Linked DNA regions of Solanum lycopersicum. The protein of the gene in region 2 interacts with the protein of the main gene of each other region in a pairwise test. Links are inferred from orthologs where the notes say so. Each region holds a gene or a part of one and is shown on either strand. Other genes may lie near its edges. The genes, in order: transcription factor bHLH128 and LUG2.

The links.
Region 1: the proteins of LUG2 (region 2) and transcription factor bHLH128 interact in binary tests that used the Arabidopsis thaliana proteins (3 or more experiments, as listed by UniProt). The link is inferred for Solanum lycopersicum from reciprocal best matches to the Arabidopsis thaliana genes LUH and AT1G05805.

What each region holds. Positions count from the first base shown.
Region 1 is NC_090808.1:69,415,913-69,424,452, forward strand, and holds the start of transcription factor bHLH128, read right to left. Parts: upstream 5,585-8,540; 5' UTR 5,410-5,584; coding exon 4,980-5,409; intron 21-4,979; coding exon 1-20.
Region 2 is NC_090808.1:55,375,228-55,382,025, forward strand, and holds the end of LUG2 (transcriptional corepressor LEUNIG_HOMOLOG), read right to left. Parts: intron 6,694-6,798; coding exon 6,584-6,693; intron 6,492-6,583; coding exon 6,190-6,491; intron 6,079-6,189; coding exon 6,012-6,078; intron 5,896-6,011; coding exon 5,787-5,895; intron 5,030-5,786; coding exon 4,980-5,029; intron 4,889-4,979; coding exon 4,640-4,888; intron 3,711-4,639; coding exon 3,633-3,710; intron 3,402-3,632; coding exon 3,210-3,401; intron 3,017-3,209; coding exon 2,890-3,016; intron 2,804-2,889; coding exon 2,697-2,803; intron 2,539-2,696; coding exon 2,389-2,538; intron 2,214-2,388; coding exon 2,058-2,213; intron 1,960-2,057; coding exon 1,840-1,959; intron 1,755-1,839; coding exon 1,557-1,754; intron 1,459-1,556; coding exon 1,315-1,458; 3' UTR 1,046-1,314; downstream 1-1,045. UniProt on the Arabidopsis thaliana protein: Transcription repressor subunit of the SEU-SLK1 and SEU-SLK2 transcriptional corepressor of abiotic stress (e.g. salt and osmotic stress) response genes, by means of an epigenetic process involving histone modification (e.g.

The DNA.
Region 1 (8,540 bases), about 14 Mb from region 2:
CCCCATTGAAACTGAAAATCCTAACGTCAAGTCAAACTTGAATTATACTACAAGTTATGGTAACGAGTTCTTTTTACCAAATTAAAACCTTTACAACATATTAGATATGAATCTTTTCGTGAGTTTGATTCAAAAATGTCATCTCAAAAGCTGATAGTTCTGGTGTGACCCTTGTAGTCTCCATGGAAAAGTATTTGGTCTCTTTTGGCTCTATATATTAAGGTCTTCTTTGACAAAATTAAAGTATATTACAGACATAACATAAAAGAGATCCTCTTTTCCACATCAAATTGTTAGACTTCCATTTGATATCTAATTTGAAGTCTTTGTTTGACAAGGTATGAATATTACTACTCAAACTAAAGATAAAACCAACGAAAATAAGATACACACACCTTATCCTACCTTGTGGGGTAGAGAGATTGTTTTCGATAGACCCTCAACTCAAAACTAACTGATCTACTAAAGCTCCATTTCATGGGATATATGAGGGAAAATATCACCTAGTGTTTTCTCTTTGTTAGGAACTGAACCTAGGACCTTATAATGCTTAAACCTCCTTCGTTAACCACTAGACAAAACAAAATATGAATAGTAAATGAGAAAGTCCTTGATTTAAAAATTTTTTAAAATAAGTCATCATTTAAATTTAATCACTATTTTCACAAGTTGTGAAAATATAAGCCTTTGAAACTAACAAAACATTGAAGTTTGTTTATTGTCTACAAAATTTAAGATCATAATCAAAGCATTTCTTATATGAAGAATCATAAATTACACCAACAAATAAAAACAGGATCATCTGCTAACAGTCGACTGTAAAACTTTCAGAAAATATCTTAGAACTAGTAAAGCACTCAAAAACATTGGGCTGGTTTTAGGTGGCGGCTAAGATAATAATAATAATAATAATGGATAGAGCAAGTGGGAATAAACGGGTCAAGTAAATACCCATGCACGTGATAACTGACCAGTCATGGAATTTTAGGAGCTGTTTGGTGAATGCATCTTGACCTCAAAATAAGTAAAAAATGGATTCAAAGAATCGTAGGCACAATCACCATCAATTAAATAAAGGGACAAAACTCCTTCCCTTTCCTTTATTCATTATTTTATTGGCTAGTTGCTACTTTTACTAGAATTTTATATTTTATATAATGTCAACTTGCTATATTTGAAAGTTTGGACCCCACAAAAGAAATGCTCACTTCCTCCAATAAGGAGCTTCTTACTAAGATTATGATTAAGGAAACAACAAAATAATACTCTAATATCTATATTGCTCATTGGGCCCAAGTGACAACTTGTTCTATAAAATCAATTAATAATTCCAAAACTTATATCTCTACTCGTATAATTTACAGAGACCACAAAATACTTTTTGGCCCCTGAAAGTTTTTCAATTCTTTCTATTACATTACTACATAATTATACAATATTCTGTTTCAAATATTTTTTGACAATCTTACTTCAAATAATTTTTTCTTAGCCTAAAGTTTCATCACCTAGTAAAGAAGTACATATTGTCCTCCCTATATTCTATTTGTGATATTATACATATATGTTATCGTAATTATTCATGGAATAAATTTTTTAATAAAAATGATACCATATAAAATGAAATAAAATGAATAATAAGTCCCAAGTTGTGCTCGTTTAATTAATTAATTTATTTATTGTTTTATTTGGGTTGAAGAAAAGAAAACTACAACATAACTAATGGAATAGACTCAGTGCTCAAAGAAGCACACTCCAACCTCTCATATATCAATTACCATAAGTAGAAAAAATGAATAAAGGAACCGCAACACAACTTTATTGACCCATTCAAGTTTGTGTGACATAATGATCATGACTTAGTTCATACACACATTAACTTAAGAAACTAATACAACGATTAAAGGTCTAATAGTAGACCTAAACCTAACGTAGAGTAGATTATAATTATTTTAAAAAATTAATAGAGAATAAATTGCCTTTTTTCGAGGTCAAAGCATCCACATTGTATGTCCTATTCCAAATCAATATATCTTATTGGCAAAAAATCATAGATTAAACCACCCTTTTAGTTGAAAGGAGAATTTATTTCTATACCGATCGGACATTTCAAAAATATAGAAAATTGCATGTCAGGTCTTTTAAAATAGTGCATTTTAAATGAATCGTAATAACAAATTAAAAAAGTCTAACCAACTTAGATGATCAAAATGAGTTGTAGAGTTTCTGATAGTTGACAATAAAAGCATAGCCTTTCAGTCTCCCCACCTCATATCAAATTAATTTACAAAAGTAGTATCATTCTTTCTCCCTTCCCTGCTTCTAAGGATCTAGGCACCATTAATTATATTAATACAAAGGTCAAATATTTTTTTATTAAAATCGAAAAACAACAAGGATCAGTGATGCATGATTCACAGTTCAATGGATAATGAATTCATCTTTCTGATCTTCTCCATTTTGAATATCACACGTTATACTTTTACCATTAAGATCAAATCCCTTACCTCTTAGACTAAAAAGAAATAAAATTTGACTTTTATATAATTAACTACATATACGTAATTAATTAGATACATGCAAGTTGGTTTAAATATAATAGTTATAAAAAACTAAAAGTAACAAATTTGTTTAATATATTAACTTATAACTTCTTTAAATTTTCTCACCATTACGGTATATTATTGTTTATAAGCTCAGCAGTGTCAAATTGCACAAGTTGCATCTAACTCCGTTCAACCCCCACCCCAAATCCTATCTCCAGAAACATTTTTTTTTTAAAAAAAATATTAATTAGTGCTAATGAGATTCTATCTTAAAGAAGGATCCACCATCTAATGAGTAATTAATTAATACCAGTGGTTTCATTGGCCAAATGTTGTGGGCGATTGGAAACTTAGCAGACACACATGCATTCACCTTCACCAAATGTGGAACCCACCTTTACATGTCACTAAGAGTTGAGACAGGATTTAGACCTACCAATTAGCTCCACTAATCACCTAATTTGCCCTATTGATGGATAAGTTATTTTTAAAAGAGAGCAAATAATAATTTGCGGCTGCTTACGTTATATACCTTCTAATTTAGGAAACTAATTCCATTTATTTTAAGCTAACCCAAGATTGTTCCCCTCTACTTTTTATATTAATTAACAATAAGCGGAATTAAGATTTAGAGTATATAACTTTTGAATTCTAAATCATTAAGTTGGTTGTAAAACAAGAATTTATTTATGTTAAATGAATTTCTCGAAATAAATATATAATTTTAGCTAAATGTATCAAATTTTTTTTATATGCTTCAAAATAATGACACATTTTTAATCTGAAGTTTTTAATGTATACACATCTTATAAAAGTTACATATATGTTTTGGGATGTTACAGACCAAAACTTGTAGACGTATGTACTTTTTTTTCTAAAGTTTGTACAAAATCAAATTATGACACATAAATTGAAACGAAAGGATTAACAAATCATTTCTTGTATTTCTAAAATGGATACTAATATTTATAAATAATTTCAACTTGTCAAACGATTGATAATTGGGACTAGAGGGAGTATAAACCTTGAATTACACGATGTATTCAATTACAAACATGAACTACAGAAGTCTATCTAACATACTTGTCAAGATTGGAAAGTATAAATTTGGAAATGGTAGAAGGTAGATAGATAAAAGATGAAACTGTTTTTAGTGATTTGATTTCTACAAAATAGACATAAAATATATGTACATTCTGTACTTTCGAGACTTCTGTTATAAGATTATATTAAGTATGTTATTGTTATTATCTTAGACAGATAAAAAGAGCAGACACAAAAATACACTCACCATAGGAAAAGTAGAATTAGCTAAACTTTTGTTGATATGATATATTTTCTGTGTTCCATTTTATGTGAGATGATTCAATAATTGATGGACATATATCTTTTTAAAAAGAAATTACATATTTAAAATTGCTTAAAATGTAATATAAATTTAATAATTCATAGTTCAAAATTTTTATAGAATTCCTTTTAGCTCACCATTTTAGTAACTGCATGAAGTGGGACAAATGAAGTAGTACTTCTTTTTTAAGATTAGAAGTTAAAAGTACTAATCATATGGAGGGAAAGAAAAAATGAGTTTGCAAGTTGTAAGGAGGTATTAAAGATTCTTCGAGTACTAAGTATATCCTTAAACATGTACATAACTCTTTTAATCTTTTGGTAAATTTTTTTTAGCAACTTGTTATATGTAATTAGATAAGACAAACTCAATTACTCTTAGCATATTTCCCCACTTACTCTATATGTGTCCTTTTTTGAGTAATTATTTATGTTTAAGTGCTCAACTAGTCAGTTTATAACGTCTAATTGTGACATAAGTAAATCTTACTTTTGTACTGTAATCTCATGACAATTCATTTAGAAGTTAATGAAGTCCAATGAGATGATTAATATAAGTTAATCCTCCATTAATTGGTTCTATCTGCAAGAAACCTACTTTCTCATTTCATCGGTAGCTAATTACACTTTCTTTAAAAGGTAACTCAACGCATTAATTAAGCTTCTGCTGTGTCTGGGGTTTGGAAAAAAAACAGATCACAAGAGCTTATTGTTCGTAATTCAATTTAACATTTTTGTAAGAAATTATTTTTACGATTTAAATAGCTATAAAATTATTCTAACATGTTTAACTATAAAAATATTATTTCTTTCTTAAATTTTGTGTCGAAATTAACTTTGTCATGTGGACAAAATGTAACCAGGGAATACTTTAAAATGTAAAATGCATTTCAAAGTTTGTTAATTTATGCAAAGTTAGTTGTGATTAGTCAATTAGCAAAGTCTACTCTGATTGGTTAAAAAAGTTACCAAATGCTGATGACTTTAGCAGGAAAAAAAAAAAAGCAAACAGAAAGGAATCATATACAGGAAGGTTAAATTCGTCATTTGACATATCAATTAGGAAAAAAAGGGAAGTTGAAAACTTACCAGTATCACCTGCAGCAGTAGCAAGTTGATTAAGGAACCTCGCCGGTGAGCTACTATGTCGAACCAACGGCGTCGTTGAAGTCGTCGGCAAAACTCCTCCTCCAGCGCCGCTTCCGCCGCCGATTGTTAAGTCATTGAAACCAATTGACCTCTGTAAATTCGATTGTTCCTTCGCTTTACTTGTAGATTCGGAATTTAACGAAGTAGATGCTAGATTGGACTGAAAAAACCGTGAAGGACCAAGGTGTGAGTGATGAGATCCGTGAGAAGCGAACTCGTGATTACCGTTAACGACGGCTTCAACTGCTGTAGTTAAAAATGATCCCGGAGCTGAACCGTAGCGAGTGAGACCACCGCCGGCGCCGCCAGCGGTGGTGCTGGTGTGGCTCATTGAACCTTGTGATGAAGAAGATGTTGATGATGGATACATTTGATAATTTGTTCGAATTGGATTGTTAAGATTTGGAGGTTGAGAAGTTAATAGAGAGAGAGGTGGGTGGGTGGGGTGAGGGAAGAGAGCAAGTTGGGAATTAAAAAAATGAAAAAGTGCTACACTTGTTTTATGAAAAGTCTTGTGAGAAAGAGAGTGGATCAGCCAATGGGGTTCTGCTGTTTTTGTGATTTTGTCTTTACATTTTTTCTTTAATAGAAAATTAATATACAATGTGTACTACATCCTATCCTACTAAAGTATAAATTAATTTCTTTCAATTTACGTGACACATTATCGTTATTATTTATATTGTGAGTTATGTCATTATTTATATTGTGAGTTATTAATTTTATCTAAAGTGTAAGTTTAATAACGTAATTCATGAAAAATGACGCATGAATTATTTTAAAGAGAGAAAATTTTAAATATTTTGAATTCATAATTCAAGAGAACAAGGATATAAATTACGATGTGGTATGTTTGTGTGATAAGAATATGTAGTAGAGTTTTAAAGGCAAGTGAAATAATAGTGATTAGATCGATATTGTTTTATTGAAAAGAGGGGCTAGCTAGTCAAGAATATACCCACGTTTAGAAGAGCAGTCGTGTGGGCATACTATGAGGAATATGATCAGTTATAAAGTTAAGCAGATGTGTGGGCATACTATGAGGCATATGAAAATAAAGTTATACGGGGAAAATATGTGGGTGGCTTTTGCAACAATAAACAAAATGAGAAAAATGATGAGGTTGATATGATTCGAACATGTGAAGATGGAGTGTGCAAATATGTCGGGTAGGTGGTATGAGAAGTTGATTATGTATAGAAGGAGTTAGTGGATGTAAAAGTAGGTTGAAAATGAAATAAAGGGAGTGATCATAGCTAGTATCAAGATACGAAAATTTGGAGATCGAGGATTAAAGTAGAAAGTGGGTAGATATCCAGGTATTACTGTACTATATATAGGGGTATACAAGTCAAATCAAACGACGAACCAAATCAATTCGAAAAAAACGATTTGTGGTTTGGTTTGGCGTGAAAAAAAAATCGACCACTCTTGATTTGGTTTGCTATTCGAAGAAAAAAAGTCAAATCGAACCCAAACCAAACCGACATAATATAAATATACAATTTTGTTTTATTTATAAATAAAAAATATTATTTATAATCTACTTTGCTAATATATTTTTAGTTAGTTTATAGTTTTCAATGTTTATATATACTTATTTAAATTTGAGCTTGTAAAACTTTGTAAATATTTTATTTTGTAGTAAGATCAGAAGTTAAAATAATATTGTTATAGATTTTCAAATTCGAAGTTAACAATTTACTTTGTAAATATTTCGTTTTGTATTCACTTTGATTGTCGCCTTTGATCTTTATTAATTTTACATATCAAACCTTGATATTTCAAAAACAAAAATATTTTGTACTCGTGTAAATTTTACATCTTTTCGATGACATCTTTTAAGTTTAGCTTATCACACAGATAACTGAGAATATATTGGATCACTTTTTCAAACACCGTATAATTGTAAAAAATCAAAAAATCAAAAGAACCGACTAAAGTCAAAACTGAAAAAACTTGACTTTATGTGGTTTGATTTGATTTTTAGATTTAATAGAATTGGTTTAGATTATTATTAATGAAAAACCAAACCGGCCCATGTACACCCCTAACTATATGTACGGGAGAGGTGGGGTCAGTCTTCTCGTTCCCAATTCTCGTTTTCAGTAATAGTATTAATAATCATGTAGTTTCTTATTCTTTTATGTGTTTATACTATCGATTTTTTATTATTCAGTTGTCATATTTTCTTGTCATTCTGCTTTAATCATAATAATCATTCTATAATAACGAAGGTCTGTTCATACAATCTATTCTCCACAGACACATACTTTGCCTAATTAACCGGCCCCTTCCTCTTCTACATTGGTTTCGTTTGGCGGGTCCTCACCGGGTCGATCCGAAAAGGTGCAGGCCTGACCCGGCCTCAATCCATATTGTTCAACTTGCTGCTCAATGTGGTGTGCCAAAGCAATGCATGTGAAGCAACACTATATGTAGTACACTGTACTAGCAATTGCACGTATATATACTCAAGTCACGAGAAGTTTGTTTGTATTCCTCAAGGATCATTATAGAAAATAGTATTATAGTAATTATTTTTCATTAGTGATTTAAATACTTATAAAACATATAAAAAGATAGTGATTAAGAAAATTGTTTAGCATTTAAAGTTTGAAAAATATCTCATAAATTAATACAAAGAGAGTACTGTACTGCAAGTAGGTTAATAAGTCTGCATGCATATTGCTACTTTACAAAGAGGCAAGTCTATATATTAAATTAAAAGGAGTAAATAAAGCTAATTTAGTCAAATAATCCTTTCATTAATATTTATATACAAATAAAATGGAGTAGAGAAAGTATAACCTTTGTAATTTAAGAAATATTCCATTTAATATAAGTAATATAAAGTCCCTAAACTATTTTTCATAATTAAAAGAATCATCAATATTTGTAAATTTTAGGATTCTGCCAATAATAATTATATATGACAATTTGTTATTTCCTTGATAAATAATTAGAAGATTAATTATCTTTTTTCTTTTTCATATTGAATAATTCTTTCTTTTTCATGTTCATATGCACTTTTCCTAGAACATAGTATGTCTTTTTTTTTTAAATTTAATTTAACATATTATGTCCTGTGTATTATATTATATTTGTATGGATCATGTCAAGTATTTTTATTATTATTATACGTATTGACATTTCCTAGTGTGAAAATTATTTTTTTCTGATAAATTATTTATTGGTCTATCTCAAAAAGTCTTATGCCTACCTTATTTGAACACTAACATTTTTTTTTATACATAAACTTGAACACTATAGTTTATAGTTTAGAAAAAAGTATACTCGAGAAAGTGATCATATGCTAACTTTATTTGAAGTTTTGAACCTTAAATACTCAATTACCAAACCTAAACAGGCCAAACATACCCTTATTCTCATAAATATACCCACAGAGATTAGAAAAGAAGAAAAAAAAAATTAATTGCTTATCTTAGAAACTTACTAATTCTACCTATATTATTGGTAAAAAAGAATATCTTTCATTTA
Region 2 (6,798 bases):
TATGATGAGTGACATTATTTTCAATCTCCTCATTCCCTTGAATTATTTAATCCAAGTACTTGAAACTTCTATCTTGGGAAGAGTTATGTGTCAACACTACGTCCATGTCTGTTACAAGAGACACACCATTGAACTTGCAGTCTAGATATGTTCAACTTTTGGTCCTCAACTTGAAATTTTTTACTTTAGTGTGTCTCTAAACTTTCAATTTTGTGTTAAGTATGCCTCCATTGTGTCTCATCAATCAATACTATATCACCCCGTCCAATATGATGTGTGACATATTTTTCAATCTCCTCGTTACCTTGAATTACTGAATCCAAAGTACTTGAAACTTCTATCTTGGGAAATAGAAACTTCGATTATACACAAGTCCCTCTTCTTATTCCTATATTGCTCTACCAACCTCCTTACAATGTGAATGACTTACGTAGTCAATCATTTGACATGAAACCGAATTGGTTCTCTGAAATCGACACACTCCTCCTGACCCTCACTTTCACTACTCTCTCCCAAGCTTTCATAGTGTGGTTTAACAGCTTGATGCCTCTATAATTATTGCAATAGTAAACATCAATCCTTATTGATGTACAACTGGATTATCATACTCCACCTCCATTCTTAGGATATCTTTGTTGTCCTAATAATGACATTAAACAATCTATTGAGTCATCCAACCCTGCCCGGCTCATGTTCTTCTACAATTCGATCGAGATTTCGTCTGGGCTCGATTGCTTTTGCCTTGTTCATCTTACGCATAGCCCCATCCACTTCCTCAATATTTGAAAGATCTGCATAAAATGCCTCTCTTATTGGACCCATTCCACACGAGTACCTAAAGCAAATGAAGGATCAATGTAGCATTGGAGCATGTTGGTATGACAGTCGATAACCTTAGGAAATGAAGTTGATTTTTCCATCCTATGTGCACGAGTTTGACTAATCCGAATTCACATCTAATAGGGTCCATTGAGGATAGCACTCCCTACAGGATATTTCGATAACATTGATGTTGAACACAACTCTACATGCATAACACAGTTCATTTGCACCAAACTGGAAACTTTTATACTCTTATAGCAGTGACAATTTGAGGTATTAAAAATGTTCATTATCCGTTTTATCCAATACTAGGAGAAACACGGTACATTTTACCATGAAAATTTGCAAATCTGTTACTGTGCAACGCCTTTCTCAACGGCAAACCACGCTCTAATGTTAACTATAACAACCACAAACATGGATATTCTTCATAAAAAACAATAAGAGCTATAGATATCTATATACTTTTTTGTGAAATCTTGAAATTGTCCTCTATTTCCATAACTTGACCGAACTGTCATGACTTGCAGAGCCAACCATTCCAGTCGCCGGTGACTGTGCTAGTGCAGCGATAATGTTCTCATGTGCTGGAACCGTCATGCTTTTGTTCTCAACCATGTCCCACAGCTCCAGAGACTGCAACATAAATTCACAAAATAGCAGTGAAGTGTTGAGCATTGTCACTAAACAGTAAAAAGTGTATGAATATGAAGTAGTCTATCAAACGCAATTACCCTCATTCCTCCAATCACCAATAGAGCAGGATAACTAGGATGAAAAACACACGAGTGAAACTGATTCCCAGTAGAACTTAGCTCATGAATGCAGTCACCGGTGGCCAATGACCACACTTTGACAGACTCCTCACTGACTGATGCCAGTAACTCACCATTGAGATCCCAACACAGGTAGTTCACCACTCCAGGATGCCCCTATAAGCAAACACCGATATATAATGTCGAGAATGAAGGTAAAATATATCAAATAAACTCAAAGTCAGCTAGCACGGAAACAAACCTGGAAAGAATGAATTTGCCTGTCATTTTCGACATCAAAGACTGAAACCATCTTATCTGAAGCGGCAGCCAACAAACGCCCAGTCATTGGTTGAAACCTCACTTGTGCGCTTCCTCCTTGCTACAAGTAGAGAGAAATGAAGTCGAAGTTAGCTCATTACGAATTTACTACTGCAAAGTAGGTTTATACATAACAGTATTCTACATTAAAAAGCAAACCTTGGACACCCGAGTACAAGAAAATGGACTAATACTCCAGTAGCGAATTTCATTGTTGCTATCGCAGAAACAGAATAGGTCGTTCTTTTTAGGATGAAAATCCAACGACATAACATGATAACTATGCCCCGTGTAAGCATGCAAACAATAGCTAGGCTGCAAATAGAAGTTCGGCAACGGATTATTTAGTATGAATTTGTTTAACATTTGATTTATTGAAAAATGCAACTGTAGCTAAGGCCTTACAACTACATCTCGGAGTTCTTAAACAAGAAAAAGGCAAAAAAATGAAAAGATCTGAAGTTCCAGTAGAGAATATAAAAATAATTACATTGCTTGCGTCCCATAATCTCACAGACTTGTCAAATGAAGCAGTTGCAAGTTGAGAAGAATTAGGCCGGAAGCGGATATCTGTAATCAAGTACTGATGTTCCTCAGGCGTGGTCTCTGTTTGTAGAGTATCCATGTTCCAAAGAACAGCCTGATGCATACATAGTAAATGTTTCATAATTTACAATTTCTTAGATGAATAATGAAGTAAAATAGAGAATAGAACCTACAATCACATATCATAGAACGAAATAAAACAGTAATCCGATTATTTATGCTAAAGACATTAGATATTCTGGAGCAGCCTACCTTCTTGTCATGTCCAGCACTAGCAAGTAACTTCCCATCTGATGAGAAATGACAGCAAGTCACTTTATTTCTCGTGCGTATACAACCAACTTCACCAAAGGAGAAACCTGAGATGAATCGTTTAAGTTTATAATTTTGCAAAAAAAAAAGAAACACAATAGAGCTTTTACAAGTCCAATTGTGAGATTATTACCTTTTGAGGTTTCAGGCTTGTGCTCAGTAAGAGTTTGCTTCAATGATCCATAGATGTTTCCATCTCCTCCGTCTTGTGACAGAAATGATTCCACATTATCAATGTCTCCAAAAGGCTCTAAGTCATCCTGTACGATAGAAGTCACGTTGAGCATTATACGATTTAAGATGGTAAAAAGCACTTTCAAGGTCTTGGCATAATTAGCATATTAAACTGTGAATTTATATGGAAACTAAATACTTCATTAACAAATATGAAAGTAGACATTTAGAAAAAAAATAATCCAAACAAACATTTGCATGAATAACTGAAAGAATTACCAGCTGATTTGTAGAGGATGCAATTCCGCCAGTTCCCTCTCCATACATTATCAAACCTTTTGACATGCTAGTCATTCCATCACCTGGGGTATGAGTTGATTGTGGTGAACTTGGTGAAGGGCCAACTGTGTTACCAGTGCCAGTACTATTAGCATGTCCCGAAGACGAATGTTGCTTCCTTTTTCTGTTGGTCTGGGAAAAAAGTAAGAAGCTGGATGAACTACTCATTGGACTGATTAGATAATTTATTTTTCAGGAAACCAAAACATTAAAAAGGAAAAAGAATGGAAATTTCCAACTGCAGCAAAAGAAGGCAAGGCAGGAACAGATATCACTTGTTAACAAAAGTTGATATCACATGAGTTCGATGATATCAAAATTCAGATAAAAAAACAGCTTTTTTTACGCTTTCCTTAAGCTAACCTGTTGCAGTTGTTGCTGCTGCTGCTGCAACTGGTCCTGTTGTTGAGACGAAGAGTGCTGCATTTGGGACATTTTCATCTGTTTAAGACAGGTATATAGTATAAGCACTTTAAACTTTAGCCGTTATACGGATTGTAAGAAATAACACAAAGAGGTGGAGCCAGGATTTCAGACCAGTGGGTTCTAAATTGATCTAAACCTAAAGTAACAACCATCAAATTTTGAATATTTTTACTATAATCTTCAATATAGTTCTAAGTGAGCTTACAATTATTAAATTCAACACGAATATTTTGGCACTTAAAATAGATATTTTACTAGTTTAACTATAATCTTGAACCATTACTGCCCATCAACAAAAGTTAAAATTTTGAAAAGCAAACAACAATTATTAAATATAATAAATTATCAATGTGGGATGACCCTAGAATCAAAGATAAAAAATCAAATTTTGAATAGATAATCATACCATCTAAAAGCAAACAAGTATGGAAAAAAATGAAAAGAGAGACAAGATTACATACCGGAGACTGGATTTCAGACGGTAACAATTAGATTAACAATAAAAGTTAGACCCTAACTTTTGATGAAAAAAAAGAAAAGAAATTGGGTTTAAACTTTTTTGAATGTCTGAGTAAGATGTTGTATCAGAGTAACCCGTTCGAGTGGGGGCCAAACGAATTTATTGGGTGCACAAATACTGTTGGACCAATCGTTTCATTGTGATTGTGGGCTCGCAGGAAATAAATATAATATATACATTTTATTTCTTTTTTTAAAAACAAATATAGGGTCTACGGAAAAGCCAGTGGGTTCGGTCAAACCCCCCATCAATACGGTAGCTCCGCCCCTGAGTTAACACAAACCCTTCGACAGAAACAGACATTATCATTTACAGACAAAATGGCTAAGCCTCAGAATAGTTGTGCAGTGTAACAGATAAAAAGATAGTATAGTTGACGCGCAAAAGCAAAATCTATTCTGGACTCTAGGAGATTCGAGTTAACCTTTGGGGAATTCGACTGTACTGGAGAGCAAATGGATCCATCATTTCTAGGGGGCTGACCATCTTTGGCATTAAAGTTCCCTCTAGGTAATCCACCAAACCCATAATTAGGTGAGTTTCCAAGGTTACCTTGGGCTTGAGCTTGAGCTAAGACCTGTTGTTGTTGTGATGCCAAAAGAAATTGATTTTGGGTCTGTATGTTGGGTTTTTGTACTTGCAAACCCAAGCTTGGCCTTACCTGATCAATTCCCTGAACATATCATGAGCAAAGCAATCGACTATGCACGTCAAAAATTCAGTATACTAAAAGCAGTAATGACCAAAAGTAGTAGGTAACTTACTGTTAAAGGCCAACCCTTCAATGGTAGAGTAGTGCCACCTTGGTTCAACCCTGAAGAACAAGGAGTAAATATAATGACTAAATTGCCCAAGTAAGATCATCTACAATATAATTGACATACAAGTACTCAGAAAAGACAGGAAAAAACTAAACAGACTAATCAGAAAGAGAAAATGAGACAATAGGAAAAGGAGAGTTTCATGAAAGCTGAGCTGGAAAAATAGAAATCCTACAACAAGCCAATAAAAAGAAATAGGCAGAGAGACAATTCATTGTGCTCACATAAAAAAGACCAGTTCCAGTACTTTCCACCCATAAACCGTAATATATTGCTGCTAAAGACAGATGAATAAAACTTTAGGTGTGATACAGACAATTACCAAAAGTGAAACATCATATATATAAAATAAAAAGAATTGGATTCCAAGTACAGTGACAGTGTCTTTGGGGAAAGTAGAAACCTTAAGAAGCTTTATAAATAGTCTAGCAATGCTTAATAATTTGTCGTTTAACTTCAAAGTTCAAACAGCAAAAAATGAAATTATCCATGATATCACTCAATGAACGGAGTTCCATAAAAATCCACATGATTAAGTGTCTTACGGGAAGATGAGCAGGTTTTCAGAAAAAAACATACGTCATATCAAAGATAAACAAAGATAATTAGGTGAAATCACTACTAAAAGTGCATTTTATGATAATGGATATATTTTCCATTTGAAATTATTAGTAATAGGTGGACAAAGAATGTCAATCGAAAAATGTATCTCTATTTTTTATGCTGAAAATAAGTCTTCTGTAGTAATACCTGCACCAAGACCAGCCTTTGACTGAAGAATCGCTTGCCCATAAATTGATGAAGGATCCATGGGCAAAGACTTGTGAGTGCCACCCAAGTTCACTTCCCCTTTAATATCCTACATAGTTGAAATACGTATCGTCATTAGCTTGGTAAAAGAAGACAAAATACCGAGTATTGAACAAAGAAGAGATATCCTGTCTAGTATCTAGAACTAAGAGCTCATGTAGTTACAGTTGGCATCTGAGGCCTTCCTTGTATTTGCTGCAACATGTTCCCTGAATTTCCTTGTACCAACTGGCTGAATCAACAGAGAAGAAATAGAGATACAAATGATTCAAAGCATGCAACAAATAGTTACGTGTTGTGTAAAATAATGCAATAACATAAGGAACAGTTGCACCAACCATACCCTTGATGATTAGTTGCTGACTTTAGAAGTGCCATCCTATTGGGATCAATAAGTGCTGAAGATGTTTCCGAGTCCATGGACTGAGGATGCTTCATTCGTTCCTCGTACATTTTCATTGCCAATACACTGGCAGATGGCTGCCCCATCATACCTTCGGAGTTGATAGCATTTATAGGACCACCATGAGGGGAATGATTTGGATCCCTTCGCTGTAACTGTGCATTTCGTTGTTGCATCAGTTGCAATTGCTGCATTTGTAACTGCTGTTGATGCTGATGCTCCCTTGCTTTCATTTGTTGAGTCTAAAAATAGAAGGAAATGCTAATTGGTATGAAATGTGTAACGCTTCTTTTAAGTAATTTGTGTCATGGGTCATTGCTTAAGTTCAACAAACCTCTATGTACGCTGCTGCTGCCTCGGAATGTTTTTCATTTGTCCTTGCAATGAAAATGTCCCAAAACACAGACCACCATTCAAAAAGAAATCCTCCAGGTGCATCAATAGCTATAAAAGTATGAACCAGAAGATCAAAACATAGACTCCGATCAAGAAATAAGAATAAAACATGTCGAAAGTTATACAGATGGCTACCCTTTGAATGAAAGAAAT